Mytilus edulis: one gene and its partner. The protein of the gene in region 1 interacts with the protein of each later gene in a pairwise test. Links are inferred from orthologs where the notes say so. Each region holds a gene or a part of one and is shown in the gene's direction. Other genes may lie near its edges. The genes, in order: mothers against decapentaplegic homolog 4-like and LIM domain transcription factor LMO4.1-like.

Region 1 (16,708 bases):
ATCCTACAGTATATACAACAAATGCAGGAGTGAGACAGGGTTCTCGGGGTAAGGTTTTTTGAAGGTCAGTCCAGGGTCTCGTCATTTTTTACCATGGTGAGTTCAACAGTAAGAAAAAAGATATTTTATTGCAATATAATTTATCATTTAGTCTTCATGACCTACATGAGGGTTTGGATGGGGTTAAATGATTAAAGAATAATGCCCTTAAAAAATGAAGATTAGTGAATAAAAGGCCAAAAAAATGAAGATAAGAGAAAAAAGGGGTTAATTTTTTGAAGATTAGAGAAAAAAGGGGTTATTTTTATAAAGATAAGAGAAAAAAGGGGTGAAAATTAAATGTTTACAGAATAACAGACCCCTCCCCCCCCCCCCCCCCCCCCCCCCCCCCCCCCCCATCCAGACCCTCCTACATGTAATAGAGCAATGAAATTACATTAAATTCAAATAACTTTTAACATTTAGCTATAAAATGATGATAAGTGTGTTCAGTTTATACAAAATATTTCAATCTTGATGCATCTCTGGACTCATCAGTTTTTGAATAAGTCATAGACTAGCCTTAGTGAGAACCCTGAGTGAGCATGGTGAGAGCGATGCTTACTCAAATTTTCATATAACTTATATTTCCAAGGGGCATAACTCTATAAAAAAAAGTTTAATTGCCACTGATTTTCAAACTGTTTACAAATATTTCTGAATACTGGTACACTTGTATAAACCTTTGAAAGACATTTCATATAAACTCTGGCAAGAATTGTACATTTGAAAGCCCTTACAACATGCACAATGTAATTAAATCCTATATGATTTACATTTGTAAAGGGACATAACTCCTGCACAAATAAATGATAGGCACATACATGTATTTTCAAGCTCATCTCTGTCATTTTCTAACTGGTTCCTTTTTGGTTAAGAGCAATCAATTGTAAATAGACAGAACCCGTTTGAAAGATATACAACATGTACAATATATTACATATATGTCAATCTATTGCTTATACAAAATGAACAAATTACTACAACAACAATGATATAAAAACTTGATGTAGACTGATTGTGGGCACTATTTATTGGAACCCAGTAAGGAGGGTAAAAATCCTCCTTGACTGTTTCCCGGTCCAATCTGGATCCAGGTTCTGGGTAGTTTTTATAATATACTGTATAACCATTGGCCAACCATGCTCCCCACCAACCAAAAGTACCAGTAGTAATAATGGAACTATTACACAATGACAATAAGGCTAGATCTATCCCGGGAGTATTCCTTGGAAGTACAACGGAATTTTGAAATTTTAAATTCTTCAAGCACCACTTGTAATCGTCGGAGATGACGAGAAATTTGACCTTATTGTTGAACTTTTGTTGCATGTGGTTCATGGCATTATGAAAATATTCCAGTGGAGCTGATTTAAAACCTATTTTTACCGATGATGCAATCATCATGTCAGTTCTTCTAACATGTATACACGTTGTCTGAAAAGAAATATTATTCTGAACATTCTGACGGAATATTTGTTCAGCATTTGACATGATGGTCTTTTTGAATGTAAATTCTTCTCGAACTTGCTTTTCAACATGTTTGAAATATTTCCAAGATTGCAAATAGCCATGAATTGTTATGTTCGAAACAGGAAGTGACTCCATTTTCTTATCATATGCACATGGTAAATCTTCATATATTGGTTGCCTACATAATGCATTAACTGCTCGCACACTTTTTATATTAAAAATATTTCCTAAAGAAACTTTTTTGACGGATTCTGGACTGATGTATAATAGCGCTCTATTTTTCCTAGCAATTCCAACGAGTGATGCATATGCAAATAACCAGTTGCCAAGACGACCTGAGAGTGCTACAGTTAAATAAACAGGCTGTTGTTTAGTCATCGGCAAATTAGCAATGCTGTTGATATGAACCTGACATCTAGAATATTCCTTGTCCCAAATCTGTCTCACAAAATGAATATGTAGTATAGAGGGCACTGTTTGTAACCATGACAACACTAAGTATGTAATTATCAGACTGAGACAGGCGAGACAAATAACCGGTCTACTACATCTTTTCTTGATTAACTCCATACTCCATGGCAATAGTCAAGTCCTATAAAAGAAAAATCAATGTGTAAAAGCAATGAAAAGATGTTAAAACTGTACAGTATTAGTTATTTATGTGTAATCAGGGTTGCAAATTTTTTTATACTGCTTTTGATAGTTCATACACCTTCAATATAAAAAAGAAGATGTGGTATGATTGCCAATGAGACAACTATTCACAAAAGACCAAAATGACACAAACATTAACAACTATAGGTCACTGTACGGCCTTCAACAATGAGCAAAGCCCATAACGCATAGTCAGCTATAAAAGGCCCCGATAAGACAATGTAAAACAATTCAAACGAGAAAACTAACGACCTTATTTATGTAAAAATATGAACTAAAAACAAATATGTAACACATAAACAAACGACAACCACTGAATTACAGGCTCCTGAATTGGGACAGGCACATACATAAATAATGTGGCGGGGTTAAACATGTTAGCGGGATCCCAACCCTCCCCCTAACCTGGGACAGTGGTATAACAGTACAACATAAGAACGAACTATAAAAATCAGTTGAAAAAGGCTTAACTCATCAGATAGACAAAAAATACAAGTGGACGTGGCCGGGTACTTATACATCCCGACACAAAAAGACACAATTAACAGATCTGAGTGCAGCTCATGAACACTTTCTATGATTTTGTGCTTTGTAAGTTTTGAATGTGATAAGAATATTTTCTTTTGTGTTGTTAAATCTTTTGTATGATACATTTTATACAATGGTATATATATATATGTTGCATACCTATACATGATTTATAGTGTGCATACATTTAATGAGGAATAGGCAAGTGGAGTTTACAGAATACAGAATAATGAGCAAATTATTCAAATTAAGAACTTATCTGAAAGCATGATATAAGAGCTATATTTTCATATTTTATCTTTAGATTCTATGGTTTTGTTTTATTTTTATCACACGAAATTGTATTTTCCATGCATAATCTTTTATACGTGACAATTTTGCACAACCTGTAGTGTGAAACAAAGTTCAGTGACCCATACTTTAAATGTTATTATATTTTTGAAAAAAAGCACGATTAAAACTGCATTTAGACAAATTATTGAAAATTCTATAGATTATAATTAAGATGACCCAGAATTCTACCATTACTGGCATTAGCAATAATATCATGTCTCCTAATTTTTGTGCTAACTACTATATGAAAATTAAAATTGCCTATAAACATGATAAACTTTAAAAAATGAGGTGAAGGTTTAATGACAGATCTGTGCACCTTACAATATAAAATTAACAATATTACATGTATATAGATATAGGAAGATGTGACATCAGTGCCAATAAGACAACTCTCCATTCCAAGTCACAATTGTATACATGTATGAGGGGGGATAGGAGGGGTCCTGATCCCGAAATCCCGGGCTTAAAAACACGAATTCCCGAAATCCTGGGCTTAAAAATACGAAATCCTGAGGTCCCGAAATCCGAGAAAAAGAATTCCTGGATCCTGAAAGGGTCAATCCCGAGCTTAAAAACACCCGATCCCGGAGTCCCGATAAAGGTCCTATCCCCCCTCATGTATTTATCAAATCTATTTAGTGATGCCACAATCATTAGAAACATTTGAACTAAAAAGATTCTGTGTATTAAATATGTTGATGGGTAAAAAAAGGTTGTGTTGCTTTTGAACATTTTGGATTTAGTCTTAAAACTACTATTGCTCTGTAACTTATCACAAATATTTTTGTGGATGATAGAGCACAGGCACTTGTTTCTATCCATACGAAGGTTGACTATCCATATAACTATTTATATGGATAGTCGACCTTCGTATGGATAGAAACAAGTGCCTGTGTGATAGAGCCTATAGTATAATACAGGCTAGTCCAAATACACCTTATCGCTAATCCCGGCTGACCCGGCCGCTTGAACTTTTGACGCATACAACAATCACTTTTCCATTGTGGCGTCAGATATTTTGTATTGTGACATCAAAATTTTACGGGAACCTGTGTGATATCCAGTAATGGCGGACAAATAGCAATAAGGTGTATAGTAATGACGTCTGACAAGGCTATTTTTTTTTCTGGGAAGGGCATGGCGTCACAGAAAAAAATTATAATAGCCTTGCCAGACGCCATAATTATTCGGACTATATATCACAGGCACTTGTTTCTATCCATACGAAGGTCGACTATCCATATAAATAGAAGCTTCTATTTATATGGATAGTCAACCTTCGTATGGATAGAAACAAGTGCCTGTGCTATATATGAGGGGGGGTAGGAGGGGTCCTGATCCCGAAATCTCGGACTTAAAAACACAAAATCCTGAAATCCCAGGTTTAACATGTTTAAAAACACGAAATCACAAGGGTGTTAATCAGTCTATTAGTACTACATGTATAAGTATAGACTGTCTCTGGTTAAATAGTAAAAAACACACCCTTTTTAATTCTGAACTTGAAACCAGAGACAGAGGTGTGCCTTTGAAAGACAGGATCCTCATACAAGACAAGACTATGGCAGTTTTACGCTTTGGGGATTGTGTTCTTTTATTTCCTTACTTTGTATGTAGGACAATGTTTAATGTTTATGTTTAGTCGAGTTCATGATCAACGGTCTAATAATTTTCAGCTGATACAATCTCATTATCTGGTCTCCTTACAAAATTAAACCAGACCGAAACCTCTAAAAAAGAAACCCTTCACGGAGAGATAAAATCCGCATTTTCTGTTCATTTTCAAACTGTTTAAAAATTTATTACTGAGCATTTCAACGGCGGATATGAGGTTTTGAATGGGGTTAAATGATTAAAGAATAATGCCCTTAGAAAATGAAGATTAGAGAATAACGGGCAAAAAATGAAGATTAGAGAAATGCGTGGACTAATTTTTTTAAAATTAGAGAAAAAGGGGTTAATTTTTTGAAGATAAGAGAAAAAAGGGGTGAAAATTAAATGTTTACAGAATAACAGACCCCCCCCCCCCCCCATCCAGACAATCGGATATGGTAATCTAAAGGTGTTGTACGAAGTTGAAGTGCATGTTTCTGGCTGTCATCTTTATATAATGTCCCACAAAGGCAAGAATAACAAATAGAAACTAGAATTGCCATTGCAATAGAGGCCGGATGTCACCCTGGTCTGCAAATTGACACTTAACAGCAGCCATTTCGAAATTGTCCATCAGTGAATGCAGATTTTTGCATGACAACAGATATTTCTGTTTTAAATTCCAATGAATTTGGAGCATTTTGATATTTTTTGTGTTTTTGCTGTTTCCATGGTAACGGCCGCCATTTTAAAAATTCCAAAGTCAAACTACTGCTGCATATTGTTCTCTCTGCACGTCGTGTAGCTGGAATATATATACACACATGTACATAAAATGAGAGACAAAGGATACCAAAGGGACATGCATTCATTCCACATTGCTAAAAAGAAAGAAAAACATACAATACACAAAACACAACATATTAAACTAACTGAGACTGAGTAACAGGAACCACATCAAAAACTGTCTTGTTGCTCATGTTAGTACAAAACCGCTAATTATTAAGTCTGCATCGGTAGATCACATAGAACACTGATATAGCAGTCTCAGGGTGCACAAACTGATATTTGAAGCAACGATCATCAAAGTCCCAATGCAAGTATTGCTAAGCGCTGTCATACCTTCATGACATGTGGTATTTTCCTCACAAATAAGCCTGACATGAATTGCTTGGTTTGAATTCCTGATAACATAACTTGTGGATAAGTGTACTGATTTTATGACATCGTACCACAATTAAGGTTCCATACCACAAAAGGAAGATCGGCATTGATGATTTTCTTGACTGTTTAGGGATTAAGGTCCAAAGCGGGTCCACAAAAAAATTAAAACAAACATAACTCTTGTTTAAGGACAATAACTTGTGTAATGAAAGCAAATAAGAAACCCGTCGGCCCGATTTATAATACGTCGATATATATATATGGCATGCAGAAATCAAACGCAAACAGTGAATTACTGCCCCTGACTTTAGAGAGGCAAAAATAGAATGCAGCTGGATACAACAAAATTCGTTTTGTGTTCATGGTTGTGTTTCGTGATTTATGATCTCTACCGTGTCAAAACCTATGCAACTGTTTTGTTTTTACAGTTTACTCTGATGTTGTGTTTCCACACAATTGTTAACTGTCCAAGGATAAGGACCGGGTGCCAGGGTCCTCCACCATATTACGTACATGAGGGTACATATGTTTACCTCCCCATGCCCGCTACAGTTATATCTGCTTAGAGCAATAAAAACACATATATTGCCATGGCACGTTTACTTCAAAGAGACAGATTACATCACATGATAAATATGCATCATTATACAAAGGTACACAACTCTCACGTTTAAACTACAAAACACATACGACCATACATATACTTGATAACAAGGGTTAGTATAAGCTTAATGAACATGCAGTATGGGGTTTGTTCATCGTTTCAGGCGGTAGTAGTGTGACCTATAGCTATTGTTGCGTAGATCAACGTCAAGTTTGATTCTGGTGTTGTTGTTTTTTTAATTTGGAAAAATCCTGATTATTTGAACACGTGCAATCGGATATATAGTTATCAAAGGTACCAGGATTATAATTTAGTACGCCAGACGCGCGTTTCGTCTACATAAGACTCATCAGTGACGATCATATCAAAATATTTAAAAAGCCAAACAAGTACAAAGTTGAAGAGCATTGAAGATCCAAAATTCCAAAAAGTTGTGCCAAATACGGTTAAGGTAATTTATGCCTGGGATGAGAAAATCCTTAGTTTTTCGAAAAATTCAAAGATTTGTAATCAGGAAAAACACTCTTATCTTCATTTCTTTAGTCTTGTAATTTTTATGTAATTTTTCTATATTCTAATACACATTGACCATTTTTCTCTACTCTTTATATTATTACACTTTTTTCATTTCTTTATTTTTTGGCCCCTTTTTTCTCTTTTCCTAATATCTTGGTCCATGATTTTTTTCTGTAGATTTTGCCAGCCATTATCCGCTATCCTGTTAACCCATGTAGACTTTCATATATTTTCAACGTTTTTTTTTTTAACGAGATTTATTTTGTCACGTGCAAAGATTCATGGGATTAATCGGATGTGTGATAAAAAATCTGCTAAATGTGCGAAAATATCATTTATTCAGATATCAGTACTTCCCTATCAATTTTTAAACTATTGCTCTTGAAGAGGAACAATGAGATTGGATTTGAATTTTACATTCTTGTACTGAGTAATTGAATGGCTGCGGTAACAGACTGGCTTTAATTTGGTAAGGCTTTATTAAAAATATACATTATACATTGTAGTATAATATAGATATGTCTATGTACTCGTACGTCATGAAAGGTCATGTATACCAAAGTAGGGCTTGATCAAATGAATTTGCGACACTTTGGAACATTATATAAACCATATATATCATGTATATAGCCTTAATGAAGACTTTTTGAAAGTATTTATATTATATATACTTGCGGATGCATATCCTGGACTCAGAAAATAGTGTGTGTGTGGGGGGGGGGGGAGGGGGTCGTAAAGCAGGCAATTTTAGAAGAAGGACATGTAAATATGTAAATGGCCTATGCATTAACCTCATATGTAGCCGGCTCCATAAGTAGTGGGCTACATTATCACATCCCATACAGAGACGGATTTAGGGGGAGGGCAGGGGAACCCCCCTTTTTTGAGAAAATGTTTGGTTGCTTATATAGGGAATCACTGAAGCGTGACTGGAGCGGCCCCCCCTCTTAGGCAGTCAGTGGGCCCCCACTTATAAATATTTCTGGATCCGCCACTGCCCTTAATCCGCTTGAAAATTATATTATACGAGTTTCTTATACAGTTTGTTCCTAATTTTGTCATTTTTTTTTAATTTAAGGGAGACGGATTTTTTCTTGTTTTCGAATGCCACTGCCCAGTATCTCTATTTTGTATAATTATATTTCGTGCAGTTTATGAAAAATAAAATATTGTTTAAACTAAATCCGCTTATAATTTACTAAAAACGACTAGCAAGAATAAATAGTACCTCCTTTTCAACCATGGTCGATGGTGGTTATGATTTGCCTTCACATCCCACCTTACTATTTTTTCCGTTAATATATCAATTAACGGGCGGCGGACTCTGAATATATGATAGTTCATACTATCGTTACTACAATCCCGTACCCTTTTCAAGAAGGTCACCCTCCGTATTAATTCTTACTGTGTTTGTATTAACATGAGCAACACGACGGCTGCCACATGTGGAATAGGATCTGCTAAATTACCCTTCCGGAGAAGCTGAGATCACCTAAGTTTTGGTTGGGTTCGTGTTGCTAGATGCGTTATAGTTCTCTATGTTGTGTTTTGTTTTCTATTGTTTGTCTTCTGTTCTCTTTGTCGAGCCTTCGACAACTGTCGAAAAAGCGAAACATGAAGCGAACCTACATTCCGTCGTCGGCGTTGTCGTCGTCGAGTCACATATTCACGGTGTGCATGGTTAGCGGTTTTTGAAATTTTAATAACTTTCTTAAACTATCCTGGATTTCTACCGAACTTGTGGATAGACTTTGTTAATATTCATAACACAGTATCCAAAAGTAAATTCTGTAAAAAAAATCATCCTATTTTGAATTCCGTATTTTACTTATAGATAGACTTAGTTTTTCTGCCAGGAAACATTACATTCACTCTGTGGTTAATGTTTTTAAAATTTTAATACTTTCTTAAACTATCCTGGATTTGTACCAAACTTGAACAGAAACTTGTTTATGATCAAATGCTAGTATCTAGAAGGAAATTTGGTTAAAATTTTGTTCTTGTTAAAAATGTTTTTCCATACTTTACTTAAAAATGGACTTAGTTTTTCTTCCATTTTACATTACATAGTCTGCAGTTAAAGTTTTAAAAACATTTATTAGATTCACAAACTATATATATATAGATTTCCTTGATTTTTACCAAACTTGAACAGAACTCTTACAATTAAAAGATAGACTAAAATATCTAGAGGAAAACAGTTTTTCGAATTTTTTGTTGAACTTGCGACTACCAGCAAAAGTAGGCGAGACACTGGGTTCGACGGAACCCTTAAAAATTAGAAAATTAGTTAAGGGTTAAATTGAAGTTCCTATTAATACAACGATTCAATAAGGTCGAATTATCGAGTTATACTTGCAAGTGAATCAGTCAATATTTCTTTAGTGATTGAACAAAACTGAAAAAAAATCACATATTTTAGTGTTAATTGTTTTTTTTAATACTATCATCGTATATATCATGTATCTTATTATTTTGCCAATTTGAACCATACTGGTAGAAGCGAAATATTATTTCACTATTTAACTTTCATTAGTGATTGAACAAAACTGAAAAAAATCACATATTTTAGTGTTAATTGTTTTTTTTAATACTATCATCGTATATATCATGTATATATCGTAGCAAGTGCATGCTCCTTTAAGATCCTTTAACTGTTTAATGTCAGTTTGGTATATTTTATGACTTTATTCTTTATACTTTTGCTTTTAATATTGCAATGCTATTTTTGTATTGTGTATGATAAATGACTTTAAAAATATTTGTACATGTTTAACTTTTGGTTTGAACCATTGGAGGAATTGATTATAAATATAAAAAAAATAATGGCCCCCTTTCTCTCTGCAATGTGCCCCTTCGAATAAACAATTTAAAACGGAAGTAAACTTAACGACATCAGCGAATATTTGTAAATGGTTTGGTTTGAATAATTCGAGGAAGCGATTAAAAATATACGATGAAAATGATGCCCCCCATTTCCCCTGCAAGGTGCCCCTTCAAATAACAACAAATTAAAACGGAAGTAAACTTAACGACATCAGCGCAGGCGTATTAGTTTATTTTGATTTTACTCGCGCCATGAAAAAATAAATAAATTAAGCATGAATTAAAAATGATGACTTAACAATTGATCGTTGCTCGGGTAAGTAATCAATAATAACCTGATGTTAATGAGGAGATAATTTCCACACCTGAAGTTTCATTGATTAAGTAAAATGGAGCCGGCAAATGGCCTCCAGAAGCTGGCACCAGTCTGTCTGGCTATGACATAGTATGCTGGGAGTGGGGACATGATTAACATACGAGGCCATATTTTTTTTTATTTTTTAATTTTTGTATTAAGTCTGCTGTTCTTTGTTCTTACTTGTTCAGGTGTAAACAAAGCATGCACATGGCATAGATTTGATGCATAGTTTATTTGGAAATTATTATCTGCTTGTTGATTATTCTGAAAGTATAAATAAAGAATTGTATAAAAAAATAAATTAATTAAAATAAATATTGATGGATTCAAAGGAATAAAAATTTATTAAAAAAATATTTGAGGAACAAGTGGTAATTGAAAAGAAATATGAATTATCAAAAATAAACAAACATGTTTTAAACTTTTAAAAGTTTTATTGTTATTTAATTATATGTCTGTATTTTTCTGTTACATGTAAAACCAATTGATAAGACAGTAACCCTTTACAGTCATGATACTTAGTACCATCTTGTAGGACCGAGTGCGGAAGAAATCTTTTTACCCAAGAACGATACCAGACTTCATTGCCCTACCTCATACTGCCACCAATGCAGGTAGTCTTGAATGCTTCAAGACTTCCCTACATAAGATGAACTAGAACAAATCCAAGATGTTTTTAAATTCACTGTATATATGATGTACATGTATCATGTGTATAGCAAAAATTCAAATCAACTAATACTTATTTCTTGTCTAAATTTTAAATGTGCATCCAAAAGTGGCAAAATAATTAACTTATTGATGGTAGCAGCGTATTTGTAGAAGTAGTGGACAACTTTTAAATGCATGAGATTTCTGACATGCTTCTGCTATCCCAGTGTTATGGACCAATAACTCTAGAGGTCCTTTCTATATTTTATCGTTGGCTTCAATCTACATGTATAATACACCTTAAATATTGCTCAGGTTATGAAATTAGCAGCAATGGCCCCTAAAATTTGGTTTGGGCTACTCAAATTTCGGCTTTTCTTATATATGACTATCTATGTTGGCTACAACATTTAAGCTGTGGACTATCATTGCCAAAGTCTTTAAGTTTTAACCCTGTAATGCTACATGTATTTGTCCACCAATACCAAACATCACAAAAGTTCCATAAAAATTTTGACATCACAATTATACCTGTAGGTGACCATAGTGACCATACTGCTTTCAACACTAGGTAAACCCATACCATATTCTATCATGAAAGCCCTGAAATGACAACTGTAAAACAATTCAAATAAGAAAACTAACAGCCTGATTTATATACACAAAATAATGAACGAAAAACAATAAAAAAACAAATGTGATATTTGTGAGGCATAAATTTAAAACAAATGACAGCTTCTGATTTTCTTTTATAACTTTCAGACTAAGGAACATCGATAAACCCCATGGGGTCCTAGGCTCCAACATCAGCTGATGCCTGTTTTAGTATTGTTCACAGCCGAATGTGCCATACATGAATAGAGCTTATGTTTGTCCCTTTGAATAATAAATATACTGCCTCTTGGTAAAGCTTTTTCATTTATTATTTATAATAATTCTCTTAAAATCAGAGCCAGTGTACTGTTATCTTGCTAAGAAATCAGTTGAAAAAAATATTTGCCTTTCTTTGGTACAAAAATGTTCCTACATTGTACCCTATTTTTTTTCAGCATTAAATTCATGCCTAAAAATCATGTAGAGTTAGAAAAATTACCAAATCTAACTTTCTTTTATAACTTTCAGACTAAGGAACATAGTTAAACCCCATTACCACCATGGGGTCCCAGGCTCCAACATCAGCCGATGCCTGTTTAAGTATTGTTCACAGCCTAATGTGCCATAGGCAAGGAGGAGAGAGTGAAAGCTTTGCCAAACGGGCCATTGAAAGCTTGGTGAAAAAACTGAAAGAGAAAAGGGATGAATTGGACAGTTTGATCACAGCTATTACAACCAATGGTGCACATCCTTCTAAATGTGTGACAATCCAGCGGACATTAGATGGGAGACTTCAGGTATAAAATTTGTAAACATACATTTGTACATATACATGTACATGAAAAAGGTTATTTATGTATTATTGTCATTTTGTTTATTTTCTTTAGTTACATCTTCTGACATCAGACTTGAACTTCTCTTGAACTGAATTTTAATGTGTGTATTTTTATGTGTTTACTTTTCTGCATTGGCTAGAGGTATAAGGGGAGGGTTAAGATCTCATAAACATGTTTAACCCCACCACATTTTTGCGCCTGTCCCAAGTCAGGAGCCTCTGGCCTTTGTTAGTCTTGTATTATTTTTATGCAGTTAAGCTGCATTATGCGAGCACCCTAGATTTGTGTTCTACCCAATAAATGCTGAAATACTTGCCATTGTCATTATCTAGCTTGCTACTAGTACTATGTTATATATAACTAATTGAACACTTTTTTAATACTTTTTATTCTGGATTACAAAAAATATGACTAGAAAAACCTTAAATGATCGTCGATTTATCTAAAAGTTTTGAAGTTACACATAGGAAGTAGTGCTTATCAAGAATCCTTGTGTAGTTCATTATGACTTGTGCTTTTGGCCAGATGTCAAAGAACAATTGTATGAAATATTTAATCGCCGAAAATATCTTAAGACAAGCAGTTTAGATTTCCCAAATGGCAAAAGTCGTAGGAATATTGTTTGTCATCAATACGTCAGTAGTCTATTATATAATAAGTTCAACTGTTCGTGCTGTTTGCGGCAATTTCAAATTAGAAAAAGAAATTTTCGTATCTTTTTAATTTGGAGGCAGGTGTGCAAATTAGCGGTGGTCCGAGGTCCGCGACCTTCCACTTTTGCAAGCGGAATTTCGACTAGGATAGTTAGTTTCTAGGTACGCCCGACGTAGTCGCCTTCCACTTGAAAGAAAATAAGAATTAACTTTGCAAACCTTTTCACCATGTTCACCAGTCTCCAATTGAACGAGCTAAAAACTTATTTTTGTCATTATTCATAACAGCGATGTTCATTTTGTTCAACCGCTAGATTTATACAGAAAATCGCCGACAAATATTGTATAAATTCGAGTAAAATCGTATCTGATTGACGAAAACAACATTGTAAACACATAACAATGGCGGCCGTGAAGACAAAATTTTACAATATCGGATCCGATTCCGGAAGTGGATAAGGGTAATTCCGGGTTTGGCGATCAATTACAAAATAAATCCAAACAGGTGAAAAAATACATCTATGCATGGTAAATGAATATAAACACTTGAATTGTAAATCAAAAGATATATGTAAAAGAAAGAAAAAGCACCTGGGAATAGTATATCTAAGAATATACATGTTCATGTTCACAGTCTAAATCAGTCATAAATGATGATAATGCATGTGAGATGCTTTTTTAAAAAGTGTAAACATATTACTGCAATTTCGAAGGATTATTTTTTTCCCTCAATTTTGAAGGGTCAATTAAAGTAGCTGAAAGTTTCTTTCTTTATTTTCACAAATAATGCAACTATATTATATATACCTGAATGTAAGTAAATCATAAGATATATAGGTGGCATCCTTTGGGCCACTCTACCCCTTCCTGTTTAATAACTTGGAAACGGTCGAGCTCCCCACCCCTAAACCATATGAGGAACAGATCCAGGATTTTAGGTTAGGAGGGGCGCAAACATAAATTTTCTCCGAGCAGAGTGAGGCTAAAAAATTTGAGGTAAAATTATCGGAAAATTCTTTATTAAGCTGAGAACAACCCATGCTTTGCAAATTTAAGGGCGGTGCACGTCCGCCCCCCTCTGACTGAATCCGCCCCTGCATATATTCAAGTAAAGGACAATATAATAAATAAAATGAAATATAGGGGGAGTCCCTGGAGTTACCCACCCCCCTCCTGTTTGAGAACTTGGAAACGGTCGAGATCCACACCCCTTAACCATATATATTCATGTTTGTGACAATATGAAAAATCAATGAGATATAGGAAGAGTCGCTGGGGGTCACCCAACCCTCCTGTTTTAGAATTTAAAAATGGTCGAGATCCTCACCCTAAACCATATATATTCATGTATGGGACAATATAACATCCCACCCCTTAACCATATATATTCATGTATGGGACAATATAACAATTCAAATGAAAGATAGGGGAGTCCCTTGGGTCACTGTACACCCTCCTGTTTGAGACTTAGAAATGGTCAAGATCTTCACCCCTAAACCATATATACTCATGTATGGGACAATATAACAAATCAAATGAAATATAGGGGTAGTCCCTGTGGTCACCCCAACCCTCCTGTTTGAGAACTTGGAAACGGTCGAGATCCCCACACCAAAACAATATATATTCATATATGGGCCAATATAACTAATTAAATCAAATGTAGGGGAAGTCCCTAGGGTCACCCTACCCCCAGTGGGGGATCCAGAAATTTTCATAAGTGAGGGCCCACTGATTGACCTAAGATCAAGATCCTCACCCCTAAACCATATATACTCATGTATGGGACAATATAACAAACCAAATAAAATATAGGGGGAGTCCCTGGGATCACCCTACCCCTCCTGTTTGAGAACTTGGAAACCAATGAGATCCCCACCCCTAAACCATATATATTTATGTATGGGACAATATAACAAATACAATGAAATGTAGGAGAAGTCCCTAGGATCACCCTACCCCCATTGGGGGATCCAGAAATTTTCATAAGTGGGGGCCCTCTGACTGACCTAAGATGGGCCCGCTCCCAGATACGCTTCAGTGATTCCCTATATAAGCAACCAATTTTTTTCCCAAAAAACCAAGGTTAACTACCAAGTAGAACAACTGCACTCATTGGGAACTTGTACCACTGCAGACTCACCATAAAAAATATACATTGCTATATGCATTGCTTTTGAAATCTTGATAACATATAAATTATTTGCCTTAATAAATAAATCATTAGATAAACATAAATGTACTATATATGAATGTTTAATGTTGAGTCAACTTTGCCACAGCTTTCATAATTACGGTTGTCTTGGTTTTTGGTTAACTGCCTTCAGCGCTTACAGCGTGGATTAATTTTAGTTTCTTGTGTACAATTTGGACTTTAGTATGGCATTCATTATCACTGAACTAGTATATATATTTGTTTAGGGGCCAGCTGAAGGACGCCTTTTGGTGCGGGAATTTCTCGCTGCATTGAAGACCTGTAGGTGACCTTCTGCTGTTGTCTGCTCTATGGTCGGGTTGTTGTCTCTTTGACACATTCCCCATTTCCATTCTCAATTTTCCATTATAGAATCTTAATCTTTATGATAGTAAAAAATAAGATAAATGGTTTGAATGCCAATGACATGAATGATACAAAACTCTCCACATAATGACGTCTCATACTTTAAATTCAGGAGATAAAAAATATATATAAACAGCATTTTCAAATGGAGATGAGAATACACACAAAATTCACAAAACACTTCACAAAAAAATAATTAAATAATAGAATGAGCAACACCAGCTGCACCAAAAATCAGGTGAAAGAATGCTTTAACTTTTTATATTTATATGTGTTACATATAATTAAAATTGTCTGTACAGTCTATACTAATTTTCTATGTCTTTTTGTGTGTTTTTTTTCCATACTAGTCAGGAATAATCCCACAGATTTACAATTCATGCACAGGAGACAGGCGCAGATCCAGCCATTTTATAAAGGGGGGGTTCCCAACCCAGAGTAAGGGGGGGGGGGGGGGGTTCCAACTATATGCTCCCATTCAAATGCATTGATCGGCCAAAAAAAAGGGGGTTCCAACCCCCGGAAGGGTCCCCCCCCCTGGATCTGCCACTGGGAGAATATAACACAACCTGGCACAGAGAATCTGAAAAGAATGAATGATTAGGGATGGATCCATGATTTTTGAATGGGGGTGTTATTCTGTAATTCAAGAAACTGAAAATTGAATTAATGTTAATGATTGAATGCTTACGTTGAATAAAGGCAACAGTAGTAGACCATGTAAACAGCTGTTCAAAGATCATATAATCGAATGAGAGAAAAGAAATCTGGGTAACAAACTCAAACCAAGGGAAAAACATCAACTATAAAATGAAAACAACAAAGCAACAGCGACACTGAAGTGCAACAAAAATAACCCAACAACAATGCAACACACATTGATATGAACTATAAGATAACAACTGGCATGTTCCTGACTTTGTTTTGGTTAAAACATTTACAATCTTGAGAAACATTTTTATTGATGATCAAAGGGTAGTCTCTACTCCCCTGGGATCCATGAAAGACAACATATGGGCTTTTCCATTAAAATGTATGTTGGAGGTTAGGAAGGGAAGTTAAAATATTGAATGTGGGCTATGTTTTTTTTCAGTGTGCATCTGTTACCATTACGCATGTTTCGTCAAATTATCCAAAAAAATGGTTCTTGGTTGTAGGGATATTTTGAAAGTCCCTTCCTACCCTCCCACATACATTTTAATGGAATAGCCCTAATGATTTGTAAAACAAAAATGTGCTTATTCTTACCATGTTTTTGTATTTTTACAGGTGGCCGGAAGGAAAGGTTTCCCTCATGTGATTTATGCGCGTATTTGGCGGTGG
Region 2 (17,069 bases), on another chromosome or scaffold:
AAAAATACTGAACTACGAGGAAAGTTAAAAGTCGAAAGTCCCAAATCAAATGGCAAAATCAAAAGCTCAAAAACATCAAACGAATTGACACCAACTGTCATATTCCTGACTTGGTACAGGCAATGTAAAAATGGGTGGATTAAACCTGTTTTATAGCTAGCTAAACATCTCACTTGTATGACAGTCAAATTCCATTATACTAACAACGATGTGTGAACAAAACAAACAAACACAATATGTAATGATGTCAAAAAAAGGGTTGCAACAGTCAACGTAGTGTTAATATCTTAATCGCTATAAGACAAACAGAAATATAAACAAACCTTCAACATGACACAATGACGGGATGTATAAGTACAGAGCCACGTCACATGTTACCAGGAAAAACAAAAAGACAAGCATACAGAATAAGAATATTTGCAAAAATTAAAGACACCAAACTTGCATCAAGTGTCAAAACGAAGCATAGAGACCGTTTCTGCATGCAGTTGCACTCTTTCAACACAATACACGTATTTATAAATGCATGTCTTTATAGTTATCTCTCTTAAAATTGTAATATACCTTAATTTATTTATTGAAAAATGTTATTGCAATGTCAAAATAAGCGTGCAGTTATTGTTGATAAATATTTAAAAGGTTTGGATATTCCATGGATAAACAGAGAGATAGGTTTTTGTGGGAGCTGTTTCAGATATTCAATCAAATATATGTTGTTAATTTGCGTAGTTTATAACACAAAATTTATAAATAGCTATGCAATTCATTACATATAATTAACAATCACATGTTAAGTGTATGTAGCACACGCCATTCGGACGTCTAGCTTGGTTACCAGATATTGTTTTAATAGTTTTTCTGGCAAGGCGGTATCCACATTTGTATACAGTACCTTAATATAATGATCTCATTAAAGACTTTAATCGTTTTTCATTCAGTAATTTTTTGCTTCATAAAAAAATACAGAGTAACAGACAGTTGACAGGGAATACTAATTGGTAAAAAATTCAAACTTTTAACGGCACAGAAAAAATATGTATTATTTCTTCAGTTTTGAAAATGTTACTTACATGTTGATTTTTTACAATAAATTGGCTAATTTGACAGCTTAAAACCAGATACCTTGTGGAATGTTACTAATGATGTAAAATTTTATAAACTATACCAATTAAATGAGATTTAAGGTAAACAAAATGATTTCTTCAGCGCAGGGACTAATTACTTCGTGTCAATCCTCTTTCCTCTATCTAATTGCCAATTAGACCCAAAGGGCTCAGTGTTAACGATTTCGTGGAGCTCATTATCCCAACAAGAAAGCATCATGCACTAGCTCGGTGTTAATTATTTTATCTCTGGTGGTGTTTTAGTAGTTTTAAATCCAATTTGTATTTGAGCAACTTTTAAATGATTTGGGTGACGAAAAATAAGGCATCATTAAAAACTTGACATGGTTCATCTGTTTTAGTACTAATGATGTTGGTCATCAGGGTTGTTTCAGTTTCTAGAACAGTTTGTTATTATTTAACATAATACCTACCATATATGATTATATAAACATGCATATACAGATGTGTTCATATGTTGTGTCATTGGGTTGCTGTCTCAAGTATGTGTATCCCAAATCTCTTTTTATAAATGCAAAGTTCATATGGTGCCTTTGAGATGTATTTTTTTCTGAATACACCGATCAAACCCGATGTTCTATTTTGAAACAGCACCTGAAGCTATATATAGGTAAAGGATTTTTCCAAATACAGATTGTAACACACCAAAAGGACACACACACAACGTTATATGACAAAATATCACATTTTTAATGATAAAACTCTAATTATTAAAATAAGTGTTTTCTTTAACAGCGGAGCATTTTCCGTATCGGAGTCAAAGAATTTTGAAAATTATCTTTTATGAAAAGATATATATTTAAAGTTATAAAAGATTTTTCCCGATCAGCAGTGACGTCTTGGAGATTTATAAATACTTCCGATACTCTCTTCGATTAAGAAACACTCAAACCATCTGCCCATCCGTCTTTTGTGGCATTTGAGGTATGAAAATGCATAGCCAAGTCCGCACTCACTGAGGCCATTTGACCCAACGCACGAATTGAAATTGTATCCAACATGTTCATGAAAATGAAAATGTGGTATGAATGCCAATGAGACAACTCTCCACAAGCGACCAGAGACACTGGAAGTGGCTCTTGAAGTTTTTTCAATTTTTGATAAACAACGTTAGTTTAAACATATTTATTTATAGTGTGGATTGAAATTCAAGTTATTACAACTTATATGTATCCCTTTCCACTTTGCGGGTGCGAGTGCTGCCTTGTAGCGGCATTAGCCTGTTCTTTAAAGAAATCTACAAGGGTGTATTTTACGTGCAAGAGATACGGTTCTCTCTTAACAATGGTCAGCTATTTATCGTCAACTTTCGACGGAATATCATCGTTTCTCAAGACCATACTCGCAAATGGTGTCAAAGGAGAGGCGAAAAAAAAAACATATATGACGAAGGTCGTTTGACGTCAAGAAATCTCCCAATATACCTGTTTTTTTTTCTTTATTTCAATTGGTTTATTAAAATTAAACGCAAGTTTAAAAGCAGCAGCATAAATTTATTCAAGCATTCTATTGGAGAATACAGTATTTGAAAAGACCTTCTGGGGAGTTTTTGTCATAATTTCACTTTTTTAACAAGTGGTATATGTATTCTTATGTTGTTTTGTTTTTGTTCGTGTATACATGTTTTGGGATGGGTTTTATTTTTTGTGGATATTTTAAAAGCCAAAATTTATAATAAATCAACCGTTTAAGGTGGTTCAAGGCTCTCAACTAAAACCGACAGAAATATCATACTTTGTCTAATGAAACAAAACGTCGTTTGGGGTATGTTCCGGCGCAGTATACTGTGAAGCATCGCCACTGGATATAGGTACGCCGAAGCAAAGAAACAATGATAGCAAACAGGATTTATTCTATCCTCGTACAGTAAAGAGCTATTCGCCGCACAATTTAACCGCTTTATTTATTTACATGAATTTCTCTGAAAACAATACTTATTTTAGTACTAGTAGTTTATTTCGAAATACAGTGTTGTTCAACCTTGAATATATACAACTTTTTTCTATGAAAACGTCAAATGAATAGTTGAAGGATAAATGTCCAAAACTGACGATATTAAGAGAAAAAGAGCAAAATAATTATCATCATCAAGAAAAGCGCGACGGTTCTGTAACCTTTTGTTAGGAGAGGTGAAAGATACCCGAGGGGTGGGGGCAAAATAAACTGACATCGCCATGGCCCAAAAAAAAGACAAATAATAAAACACAAAACACAACGACTGAGCAACACGAATCCCAACAAAACCTGGGGATGATTGCTTCTATTTGCCTGTTAACGAGTGTGTTTATACTGCCAACATCTGCAATGATATTTAATAAAGCGAAAATGTATATTTTTATACCCAAGGTAGTTTACTTGTATTTGTATGTAAAAATAGTTTATATAGTCTCTTAATTAAAGAGTTGCTCATGTTGTCAAATTTGGGTTTTTTTTAATAGTTGGAAATCATACTTCATATCCTTACTTTTGTAAAAAGATATACAGTGTATGTCAAAATGTGAAAGGGATTTTGTTTAAAAGACCTAATATCCAAATAATTTCAATAAAAAAATCCCCTCAAGCCGGTTCTAAGGGCCGTCTTAGACTTGAAGTGAGGTGAAAGTTTTTTTGTTTTTTTTTATTTTGGTGTTGAAGGCCTCACTGTGTGGTTTTGAGATGAAGAACAGCAATAAAAGTGCTATTTCTTTACTTTTTGTGTGTATTTTTTCGTGATGGGCATGAACTGATTTTGTGTCATGCATGGATACTCCATCATCTTTGTTTTTCTATTCTAATAAACGGAATCAGAAATTTACCATAAAGGGGTATTGACGTAGTTATCTTTGTTAATCTATTTAGAAATAAGTTATTTAAAATTACGAAGAACAACCCTGACACATGTTTGCTCGATGACGTAAGTATCCCAAAAACTAGTGTGCGAAATACCGTGTCTTAATTATATACTAAATATAATCAAAGTACTGAAGTACTGAACATCGGATGGCTGCAAGTTCTTGTGGATGGTCAGAAGCACTTGTCTCAGAAAGTAAATCACATATACCTAAAAGTGAGGTTACTAATAGTGTACAGAGATATATATTTTTCTTAGTCAAGTTCGTTCGTGGATGATGAATAAATGACAGGGAAGTCAACCTCGCCGTAATAACTATGATTGTAGTGATACAAATCAGAATACTCTGGTTTGTTGATATATATTATATTAATATTTGTATATAACAGTTACATGCATATATATTTTTCATCTACTTGTTTATCGTTCTGTTCTCCTATTCTAATAATAGTGCAGTGCAAGTGCATGGTTGACTCTCTTCTGTAATTATTAGGTTTTTCAAATATATGTCTAATGACAAAATATTTTCATATTATAAATTTATGTTCTTAAAACAATATTTCTATTAGCATTCATTGAAGAAATGAATTTATAACAAGTGATAAGTAATACTATTTTGCACTCGATAACGTCCGTGTATGTATAGATTGGTTACCAGTCAAAAAAAAAGTCACGTAAGAAGAAATCTCTGTGGCAACAATACATCGGTCATCGCGATGTAAAAATAAGAAGATTTGGTATGATTACCACTGAGACAACTCTTAACCAGGGACCAAATATCATAGCAAGTAACAACTTTATGGTTGTTTTGTCAAGACATGCGTCCCTTCAAATGTTTGATAAATTCGCGATATTGGCATTCTGTATTAATTAAATAGATGAAATAATGAAAATATTACATATTTATCAAAATCAAAGTGTTATAAACAGTTTTAGTAAACAGAAAGACGCGACTGGACAAAATCGTCGTCATCAAGACAAGAACAAAAGAGAAGCAAATGTCAGATTAATTTGTATTTATTTTGTTATTTGTTAATGTCAAACGCCAGTAGAAACCTGTTAATGCAGGAATAGCCAGAATAATTTAAACCAGAAGAAACAGAGTAGAAACAAACATTTAGTTTATCGTTCAGTCCGAGAAACCGCATTCATGCAAAAATCTGGAAAGTTTTTGTTATAAATTCGCATATTGGATATGAATGGTATGTTTTTTTCTTTAATCATAATTTATCAAACAACAATTGAATGTTATATATGAACATTTTGTCTTAAGTGAGAACCGTTATTGATATGAAAGTTATTCATGAAACGCACGGCAACTGGTATCATGCATTTGTGTTTGAAAAAGTCTGAAATTTGTCTGAAATTTCGTAAAGATTGAATGACATGCATTAGATAATCTGGCTTCCAGTGGCAAACACTGCTTTCAGGTCGACAGTAATTATACAGAATGATCAACAAATAAATTTGATTGTACTTATTAGGGGATATTTACTGGGGAAGGTGTTAAAAAGCAAACAATTAAAACACAGCCTTATAAAATACCACTGAAGGGTTTCTGTTAAATTCTGACTTTGTGAAATTGCGCATTTATACATTTGACATTGAGTCCTGCTGTCTGATATTATAGAAACTCAAAGATAAATCATCTGTATAATCCTAGGAATACTTTTGATTCTGAGTAAAAGATAGCTTAGGATTCAGTTGAAATTATGCCCTAGACATTTGCACGAGTCCTGCAGCTGTTCGATGTTATAGAGTCTCAGAAAATCAGCTGTAAACACAGGAATACTTTGGATTCTGAGAAAAAGATAGGATTCAGTTGCAAATCCGATTTTCAAAAAGAAATTCTCTTAGAGACGGAGATGCAAACTCATTTGCTTTCCTTAAAGATGGAGACAGCAGTCAAAACTCATAACAAATGTGCTAAAAAAACACTAGGATTTAGCACCATATTGCTCTAAGGCAACGTGCACACGTCATTGGTTTTCCACATGCTTATTTGAAATACTTGTAACAGACAAAAGCCGACAGCTCCAGTGTTGTATACTTTTAACACAATATCTAGTTTTAAACTCAAACGCGAATCGAAAGTACATCTCAAGCAAGGGTCCTAATTAATAATCACGCCCGAAAATGAAATTTGTTTTAAGGTATATTCACTGCAATCTAATTAAAAACCGATCTCTCGGTTTTTAATTAGATTGAATTCACTGTATACTGCCATCTTGGATTGTACAATAGCAGTACAAAAACGGTCTAGTTCGGGTTTGGGCGATAACTCTGATGCCTAAGTATAAGGTAAATGCTAAGCTCATTGCACTGTAAAGAACTCTTGCAACAATTCTGCTGGTTTCGCAGATGGTCTGGTGCAAGGGAAATTTCTTACCCAATCCAACACACCCTTATTTTCCAGTGGCTATCAAAATATACCGCCTTTTATCCCGATCGACCTACATTGATTATAACATACCTATTGATTTAATTTTTTATTATAAATAGTTGAATTTGAATGAAATATTTGACACTGGACATTTAACAAGCAACAATTAATAAATACATTAACAGAGCTTATTAAAATTTTTAGACAGATTGGAAAATTAGCCGTTAGACTGCTTATTTGTATATATAGAAAAATGGTGATTCATTTACATTATCCAAAATTTCAACAGAAAACCAAACAGTTATATTTTGCGACGTGTGTTGCTTATCAATTTGATTCGGTTATTACCAAGTATCAACACAAGTTGTTTCCGTTTTCCTTCTGTGCACTGGACAAAATTGGCTGTATATGTTGAGAGTAATATATAGGCGTTTGAACAAAAAGAACTTGATTAAATGTATCTTTAAAAATTTCGAAAAATTTTAATTGACCGCCTTTACGTATTACATTTAGTTACATTGCTCTTTCTGCTGGCACTACTTTGTCAATGAAAAATTTATAAGGGGCGCAACTCTTGCAACTGGATCTCTAATTACAGGACCGTGAAATCACGGAATTGACAATTATGCTTTTACTAATTTTTCGTATAGACGAAAAAATATAATGTTTGAAAGTATAAAAACCAAAATGGTAAACTTTGCCTTGATTAGTTGCTCCTTAGTTTTCTTAAAATACAATGATTTATTAACTTAAAATGCAAAGACAAATTTAAATCATGCAAGTACCGAACCACTGGGTTTGTTGGACTTCCGATGATCGAAAGAACACATCCGCAGCAATATCAACATATTGATATGACGGCACGTACATGTATCATCCCTATTGTATGCGCAAGTTTTGAACACCTGTCCAGCTATGTTGGCTGTTCTCAGCGTAACGAACGGTGCTGCAGTACTGAATCTGTCGTCAGCTTTATACATGCATATTCAGAACGAGTAAAAAATAATTCGGTAAGATATACAAATCGTGATTTAGTTTTAAATACTATAGTTTGGCATGGACAGAAATGTTGCTTTGTACAAACTGTCTGTAGGCGTACAAGGAGTCCAACACTGTCTTATAGAATTAACACAATTTTCGCTGCATTTGTTAATCGGGTATTAGCAGATGTTTGAAAGAAAATTATCGTTAAACGGATTATCTGCAATTCAAAATGTCCTATATTTTAGTATATAATTGATATAAAAAAAAACTAACGGTAAAACGATTATAATTTGTAAAGAAAAAAATGATATCTAGGATCCTCAAAAGTTACTTGCAATCCATAAATACGTAATCATTTTATGTTTTGAATTGTTATAATTGATCAATATATTAAGTAATAACATTTATACAATTCATTTTGTTGTCGAGATTGAAAAATAAAACAGATATATATTTTTCAAACATCTGTCGTCAACTTCGATATTTTACAAGAATCTTTGTTTGTTTTTTGGGTTTTTTTTTTGTTTTACAGAACAATTTCTTAAAAATCTTAATATATAGATTCAAAAAAAGACCACAAATGAAATTGTCTGCTATAATTTAATATTGAAAGATACATTTTGGTTTAACATTTGTCGGGTTAGAAGAACATTTTAAGGTATGTGGGTATTTCAATTAAACAGTCAAAGAAAAAAATCCATTTGAGAAGTTTAATTATCTAAAGTTTGACACTAATGCGTTTTAATAATCGTTTTATTACTGTTCCTATTATAATAGCCGATAATTTTAATTATTTCCTCTAGTTTTATTTTGATTAAAATAATTGAATACGATCTTCCTATAAGCCGACCAGTATAACACAAAACTAATTAATAAAAAATGGGTTTCAAGAGAGTCGAGATAAACATCGCGTTTTTAATCAAGTCATAATTACCTATTTTAAAGCAACAATCATTATTAACATTAATAATATTGACAAAATTAAATCTGTCAATATTAAACTGGGCGGAGCCGACGTTATCATTTCTCCATTCATGCTATTGAAACATGCGTTCCGATTGGTTAGCTACAAATGAGAAACGATCCAGTCGTAAATACGGAGTAATTCATAACACACAACCATAAAATAATCTGCTATAGGAATTATGAAGTTGTTTGTTGAGGAACGTTAAACAATACAAATTATTGTGTATGTTTGATTCTTGTATACGCTGGTTTGTTGATTTCAAGCTGTTGATGTAATCCGACCGACTATACATCCATTTAAGTGACGCATATTGGACTATGACAACGAACATTTGATAGTGTACGACTGCACACAATTTAAAAATACATTTTCAAGGATTTTTTTATTAACTGAAACATTTCTTTGTTGTTGTTTGTAATTGAAGCAGACGATATCTAAAACAGACGGAATATACCTTCATCATGACAAATGGTTAGTATAAAGCTGAACACGTGTTTTTATCACATTACTTCCGTTTAGTTTTGTTTATCTTTTCACACTGAACGATAAATCATCCTTAAAATAGTTTATCATATCAAGACTAAATGTCTTAAGAAACACAATCTATGTGTGCACTTTTCACTGAACAAGTCTCGTATGAAACGTCATTTTAAATGTATAAAATTGAAACCTTGATTAATTTCGAATATCCTATTCCATGTAAGGCATAACGGTCTACACAGACGACATACAATCACAAACCGTTTTTCGAAAATGTAGTAACATTTCGGGTCTTGTATCTATTTATAGTATCTTTTCAGTTTTTGCAATGAGCAGGGACTTCAGGATTAATCATGTAAACAAGTCTCATTCTGTAATCAGGTATAATCCTGTAAATTATTCATAATTTAATCTTTTATTTTTGTATGTGTGTATTGATCAATCCCAAGTTAAACAAGAGTATATTTACTTCATTAGTTGTATTATTAGTTTCACTCGAGAACATTGGTGTATAAAAATTGGGTAGTAGATTTAACATTTCAAATAGCAAGGTAAGCAGTAGTAAATCATTCAATATCTCGACATAGGTGTGACTGGAGCACTCTGAATATACTGGAAATGTGGTATACAACCTTGATTCCATAAACAGACGACAGGGTCACCAATGGTGCGGGGACTGCTAACCAACACATCAGATCAAATCAGGTGTTTGGTGGGGTTTGTGTTGCTCATTGTCAGTTTTCTTCGTAGTGTAACTGTTTGCCTCTGACGACGATTCTGTCTTTGTTTGACCTGGTTAATTGCCCCCCTTTGTACCATCTCTTGATAAAAATAAAATGTGGTATGATTGCCAATGAGATAACTCTTCACAAGAGACCAAACAATACAGAAATTTACAACTACAGATCACCGTACAAGTCTTCACGATAAACCTTTAAATCCACAAGCCCGATGCTCAATTTTACGAAAATTTGGACACGTGATTAGTACGAGAACTGCCTCGCACAGCCTTCAACAATGAGCAAAGCCCATACTCCATAATCAGCTATAAAAGGCAGTCCCATTATTGCTTCATTCTCTGGAAGGAGATATAAAAGGCGTTGTTTTTTCATTCTAAACAAGGCAAAGGAAAAGAAGGCTTCTTCATTAAAAGCACAAATCTGAAGTTAGTAGTATGATGCTTCAATTTGTGCTCGACGAACATGACTGAAGCAATTGTAATTGAACATTATACAAGCAACACTCACTCAATTTTTTTTTTCTGTACAGGTACAGAAGACAGTTCTTCAATGATGAATAATGGTGTGATGCAGGACATAGGTAACCTGGCCAACAGCGTGACAGGTGAATCCCCATCATATGGCAAGGCATGTGCAGGTTGTGGTGGCAGAATCTTGGACCGATTCCTGCTACACGCGATGGAAAGATATTGGCACACAGGTTGTTTAAAGTGCTCTTGTTGTCAGACAAATTTAGAACAATTAGGATCGTGTTTTACCAGATCTGGGATGATACTGTGTAAAAATGATTACTTACGGTAGGTACAAATTGAACCCATGTGTATTTACAAAAAGATTATCGTGTAAATGTTAAATAGTTTAATACAGGGTTCGTGGGAAAATGTTTACGTCGTGAAGTTTTTCTCTCACGCATTTGGGTATTTGATAATTTTCTTAGTAGTATAATTAAGAAGATACTTAGTATTATATAGTATACTAAAAAAACCATAGACAGTGGTTTACCAGTGGTGTGGCCAGTCCTCTGTAATCTCTATCAAAATACGCCCCTATAATTGTATTAAAAAGCCAGAATAGAGATATTTGATATTTTTCAGAACTATACTTTTTGAATTATGTATAACAGGGATTCAGTTCCATATCTTTCTTCTTTCCCAATTGATGGTGTTATGCATAACAGATTTTTTTTTCAGGCATACTAAACCTTTGTTAGTATTTTTTTGTGCTTGTATATCTACAATTTTTACTGTATGATCATTTAAGATCGTGGTATATGGATATCTCGCGAACTTCTCTGTCCTCGTTAGGTGGTTAGCTTAACGAATCTTACTAAATTGATCGTTTGGAATATGAGCTATTCTTAATCATTTGTCTGTCCAGTCTAATTATAAACCTCGAGAGAATAAATTAGCTTTCTAATTCATTAGTAAATCAGTTATTTACTGTGGGCACCTAGGATAAATGCATGTTTAGCAAGCACAATTGGTCAATTAAGACTCATTATTGGGTTCAATTACAACACAAGTAATACCAATCCGAAACTTTATTATTACCAAGCTTAACTTAATGAAAAGTAAATTGGTTCCTTTCATAAAGGTAATAATAGCATTTTATACGTTGAGAAATGAAGAATAAATATTAAACGAGCTTATACAAATTTGTTAAAATCTGATATATGTGTCAAAAGAAAAAAGGCGATAATATTAAATCATCTGGAAAAAGAGATTTGTGTAGATTTAAGTTGTTAATATTGATTTTTAGGTAATGTTTGTATTCAAGAAAGTAAATTTGGGAACAAAAAAAGAAAAGCACAGGTGTTCTTAATGAAAAAATGAAAACGTTGATGGACAAAAAAGATATGTGTGAATAAGTCATCTGGTTGATATCAAGTTGTATACAAAACAAAATATTTTATTGAATTTGAGAAAAAACATAACCTAAAAGAACTTGAGCAGTGTAGGAAAGAATTCAACTTTTTGTACGTGCATTCCATAAACTCAGTGTAAACCTGGGACCAATAGACACATGTATTAGTCCCAGTACAAACTGAATAATTAGACAAATGGTTTGTTTACTTCTGTTGTTACTAACTAGCTTTACATGCAATACACAGTAATTAACAAACGTCTGCGGCCTCTGATAAACGACACATTTGAACCAGACTAGAAAGCCTTTCAATTAACTACTGTTCCGTTTGGATAAGTAGAATAAGGTACATTTTAATGAAGTTAAATTGATTTTAGATGCCCCTATCAAAATAAAAATTACAAACGATTTTTTTCTTCTCGACAGATGTCGTATTCGCAGAGTCTAAGTGTATGATAATGGACTCTCTAAAAGTCGGTTTAGTTACGTGATAATACATTTGAACAGACTACTTAATTATCATGTTAGAGTTAAAGTAGTGAGAAACATAAATGGCCAGATAATTAGAAGAAAAACGTGTGTTCCATTTAGGATCGATTTTAATTAATTTTCGAGATTGGATTTGTTCGTCAACAACAAACTAAAAACCAATTTCCAATATCAACAAAGGTTAATTTCAGCAATCAAAATGAAGGAAAAATTAGTTTATTTGAAGTTTCTTGATCTCGCAATTTAAATTAATTACAATTTGCTTTTGCGTGGCGGTATTGCGTTTTTGAATGCAGTCTCGGATATTAAGACCTCTTTTCCAGTATTATCAAAATGTGCAGAGAATTAACTTGTTAAATCTATTATTTCCTTCTTTGGTATGTACTAAAACTCGAAATCCTCTTTTAATACGACGCATTTGAACTAGCGGATGTTTATATATTGAATCCTTTATCACTAAAGAAAATGCATTTTGATGTCCAAACATTGATATGATCAATTAACATTTAATCTCCTGTCTTTCATCCTGGTTTGTACACCTTGTAGGACTTACTCAGTGGTGGATCCAGAAATTTGTATACGGGGGTCATTAACTGCCTTAGAGGGGACCCCGTCATTCGATGATGTCCTAATATCATACAAATTTCTCCCACTAAAGGGGGACCCGTGTCCCCAGTTCCAACCCCCTTAATCTTCCTCTGTTACTTAGTATTAAGTTGAATTTTCATTAAAAATTTGCTCTTGTTGTCCATGTGTCGATCCGTCAATCAATTTAATAACTCTTTCTCTGGCTTGCTCTATCTTTGGGGTACCAATATCATGGTGTGTCATTGTTTGGTGAGTACATATATAATGCCTCGGTATATGTAATCCTAGACATCTTCGTTGTTTGGCATGGGTTGTTACCATATAGGCTAGCGAAGGTGACTCCTAGATTTAACTTCGATTTTTTAATTCTTGGTGTTTTAACACCACTTTTAAGCACTGCTTTTTGGCCATTCCGTAGCGGCCAGTTTTTATTGGAGGGGGGAGCCGGAGTGCCCGGAGGAAACCATCGACCAAACTGACAATCCTAGTCAATTAAGATTGGAGTCGAGTGCATCTGCACGAGCGGGGTTCAAACTCACAACCTCAGTGTTGACCGGCTAGTGATTACAGTAGAAACTTGTTAGACCAGTGGACCACCGATTCCCCATGAATCCTAGATATTATGCCCGGTAGTCTTTTAACTTGAATCGTGTTTACTTTCAAATATTCTGAGACTTATTTGACGTCAGATAGTGTTTTTGGGACTTGCTGTTGTCATAGTCAGAGATTGCTCTGATGTCTAACAGTCTTTTAAAAAAAGTTGTAGGGACCATGACCCACCTCCCCCAAAGGGAAGTCTGTCTAAAAAGTCTATCAAACGTTAAACAATCTCGACAAACTTTCAAGTAACTGTAATTCAAACCGAAAATGTTTCGTAGAATAATGCCTCCGTTCATATCGACGTGAAGTAAGACACTAAAACAGAAAGATATTTCCAGAGTACGTATGAGAAGTAATTTCCTTTACTGTTAATAAAGTATTTTAATATCTCGGGGACCAATAACTTTTTAATAAAACTCTGACAAATCGTGAACAAATAATTTCAAAAGAGGGAAATTAATTAATTTCGGTAGCATTTATTTCATTCGTCTCGCTGTTGGCGAAGGATATTAAATCTACCCTAGTAGTATATATCACTAGTTAAATCAGAGATAAATAATTGATTGTGAGAATTTTGATTAATTGATTGATAACGTCCCTTTATACCACTCTTCAATCTGAAGTAGATGAATGAAAAACGACAGATCACGCGATGTTATATTTATATTCAATAATGATATTACGTTTAAAATATGAATTATAATTGACAACAGACTGCAGATATTAAATTTAATCATCTTTAAATATCTCGAGGTCTCTCAAAGGGAATAACATTAGGTTCATTTCGAACACGTATATAGCTTCATTTCGAGTTCATAACCACCGACTAAAATGAAGTTCAACTATACGAACTAAACGACTATGTTCAGTTTGGAATGCATTTTTTTATTCCCATTACATAAAGCCTTCGTTGTGAAATCTAATTATTAACCGAATAAGTATACATATAAATGAAAGACGGTTCATGGTAAATTCTTACCATAAGCTCTAAAACATATGGCTTACTTTTCTGTTGTATATACGAAGCCACTAGTCTAATGGCTAGACTATTATTTTTCATTGGTCGTGGAAGTCACGAATTTGGATGGACTTAATATCACGAACGACTTGAGAAACGAACCAATTCTCAAAACGACAAATAGTGCGTCCCTTTCAAATTTAGATTCCATGCGATGTATTATTATCTCCCAACAGTTTTTCTAATAATTCTTCAGCTAAAATATTAAAACAGAAATCAATTTGATGTCTATGTGATAACATCCACACCAATCTATTGTTTTAGTGCACTCATGAATATTACAAATATTAATTACTTAAAACATTTGTTATACTTTAATATCGGCGTTACAGTATGTACGTTCTTGACAGTTTTATTGAGATTGCTGTAGGGGTCAATTTTCATAAAAAGCAATGTCAAGTTCCCAGAACGAGTTGTTGACAATGACGGCAATAAAATTATCACAAAAAAATCATAATCCACCATATATCTAACATTGAATGTCAAATAATATAACTAACGGTGGACAGATGTCGTGGTAAATATATTAAAGAGAAACAAATATAATTTAATTTGAAAGAGCATGTACATCGTGATAGTACTAAGCACAGTATTTTCTATACTGTAATGTGCCTATTTATTGTTTCGAAAGTTTTTATAATATATGTACATTGTCAACTCCAGTGTACTTTTAGTAAACGAGTACACCGTATTAATGATTTTTTAACGCATTTAGTACCGTTATAGTATCATGATCTTCCCTTGAATTGATATAAGATGTGGTATGAGTGCCAATAAGATAACTGTCCATCCAAGTCATAATTTGTAGAAGTAAACCAGTATAGGACAAAGTACGGTCTTCAACACGAAGTCTTAGCTCACACCGAACAGCTAGGGTTAAATTAAATGGTATATTTCAAAATGGTACCCTGTTTTGTATTCTCGTCATGTCGTAAATGAGACATAAGTGTTATATTGGTACCAAGTTCTGTTCTGTTCTGTCAGTTCGAGTACTCCTTACCTCCATTTGATCGCGTTAATCTGGTAATGAAGCTGTAAAGGAATTACAAGTCGACTTTTGTTACCTGACGTGTTTCATAGATAATTACGTGTCATAGAATTTTTACGTTGATGTACTACATAAATAATTACGTAAAACGACAATTAGCAAAGAAAACTACATTCTCCTTCTCTGATTTCTGTCTTGTTTTAGAAACCACTGATAAAAACAATGGAAACAATAGAACGAAATTAACAGATGTTCCCTCTCTATTTGCCATGCGCACAGTTGTCTTTCATCAGAAAAGTATTTTCTAATTAACAGGAGCACGACGCGTAAAATTGAACAATTTTTTTAAGATTAAAAATTCCAACATAGTAAATAGCGAGAATGTATTGTTTAGATGATAAAAACGTTTACCTCTGGTTCAAAGAGATTTTACTCTTCACATGATATTAGTTTATGTCTAATTCGACATTTAATTAGTAAATAATGATTGATTGCAAACTTTTGTACAATTTCAGTAATCAACTTACAGATTTCTATATTTCTGTACCAACAACACCATTTCTTCACATTGCTATATTTTCATGCAATAGGTTGTTACAACGCACATGCATTATTTCATATTTAAAGGTCATATTCAACCTATGATCCTCACCTGCGACATCGCGGTTCCATGAGTGAATCAAAGTATACCTACATACCTACGCCTTATTTTCAGGCTGGAGTTTTGAAGAATTTCTATTGTAATTTGATAAAAATCATGCTGATTGTGAGGTGCCCAGTTTTCTCTGCCTTTAAAATCTTTCTGTTTGAATTCATCTCGATTCTCGACTTTTTCTTACTACAATCGGCTCAGAGACAACCGGAAACTGCTTGTAGATATGTTTTTGGTTCAATAATTGAATAAAATTATTAATGTAAATCCCTGTGTATGAATGACGAAGCTCGGGTGTGATTATGAAGTTTTTGTTAATTTATTGAGTATCAGCCAACAAAGTAAGAAGACCCTATATGCCGAATGAAAAAAGAATCTGAGAAAGAGTTAACACCATGGTCATAAGAAGCAATATACTAGTAGTTAATTAATCACTTCAGGATCGGATCCAGCCATTTTATTAAGGGGAGTTTCAACCATATATCCTTATTCAAAAGCATTGATGATAAAAAGGGGTTCCCATCCCCGGAACAACCCCTAGGTTTGCAACTACACTTCCTGCCAAATTAAAGGACGTAAAGTCAAGTGCTCTGGATGGGTTATCTGTTCTTGCTCCACTAGTGACACCCTAACATGATACTTCCGTTCATGCAGCAGTCATGTACAATTTTATGTTGTTCCCATTGTTGTTCTCACACCCTGAGCTCACACCAAAACAGGGTCCCTATAGAACACACAAAACTTTACAAGAAATATTCAAATTGTTCTCGTGATACAGCTTGCATACACCCCCACAGTTAGTAGACTTGACCTGGGATTAAATTGTTGTCACCTCTTCAAGAAACTTCTCCTTATGTTCTCCTTATCAAAAACCGCAAATCGATCGACCATTTTCTTTATGAAGTAGAATAATAAACTTTTTGGGCTGAATACAGTTCCAGATTTTACCAGCTAGGGTACAGCAACTATACCCATCATGTTTATGTTGTACACTATTTTGATAACATGAAATACCATATTCTTTTGATGTTGTAAACATTTTATAACCCAATACTACTACAAGTCGTAAAATCAATCAGTATTCCAGTGATCAGTGGATCGATTGGCGGATGATATATTTTCCGTCTGTTAATAGACAGGTGTTAAACAATCCATCAAAAGCGCTCTGATCCATCAAGGGAGAATACTCATATCCATGTCAGATTCTTGATGTCTTTTTCTTTGAAAATCACATCAAAACAGCTGTTGTCTAGATCATAATGATGTTTATTATAGTCTGTATAATATATTTGTCATAAAACATATTTATGCTTCGGAAGTTATGTCTTGTTTATATTGCACGTTGATTTATCTTTGAATCGGA

What was found.
Region 2: the proteins of mothers against decapentaplegic homolog 4-like (region 1) and LIM domain transcription factor LMO4.1-like interact in binary tests that used the Homo sapiens proteins (3 or more experiments, as listed by UniProt). The link is inferred for Mytilus edulis from reciprocal best matches to the Homo sapiens genes SMAD4 and LMO4.

Annotation. Positions count from the first base shown.
Region 1 is NC_092354.1:20,859,713-20,876,420, reverse strand, and holds the start of mothers against decapentaplegic homolog 4-like, read left to right. Parts: upstream 1-9,937; 5' UTR 9,938-10,049; intron 10,050-11,864; 5' UTR 11,865-11,896; coding exon 11,897-12,133; intron 12,134-16,654; coding exon 16,655-16,708. Other genes in the region: galactoside 2-alpha-L-fucosyltransferase SEC1-like, read right to left, coding at 976-2,082. UniProt on the Homo sapiens protein: In muscle physiology, plays a central role in the balance between atrophy and hypertrophy. When recruited by MSTN, promotes atrophy response via phosphorylated SMAD2/4.
Region 2 is NC_092345.1:48,586,593-48,603,661, forward strand, and holds the start of LIM domain transcription factor LMO4.1-like, read left to right. Parts: upstream 1-8,372; 5' UTR 8,373-8,749; coding exon 8,750-8,759; intron 8,760-9,129; exon of another isoform or gene 9,130-9,149; intron 9,150-10,037; coding exon 10,038-10,305; intron 10,306-17,069. UniProt on the Homo sapiens protein: Transcription cofactor. Plays a role in establishing motor neuron identity, in concert with MNX1, acting, at least in part, to disrupt LDB1-LHX3 complexes thereby negatively modulating interneuron genes in motor neurons.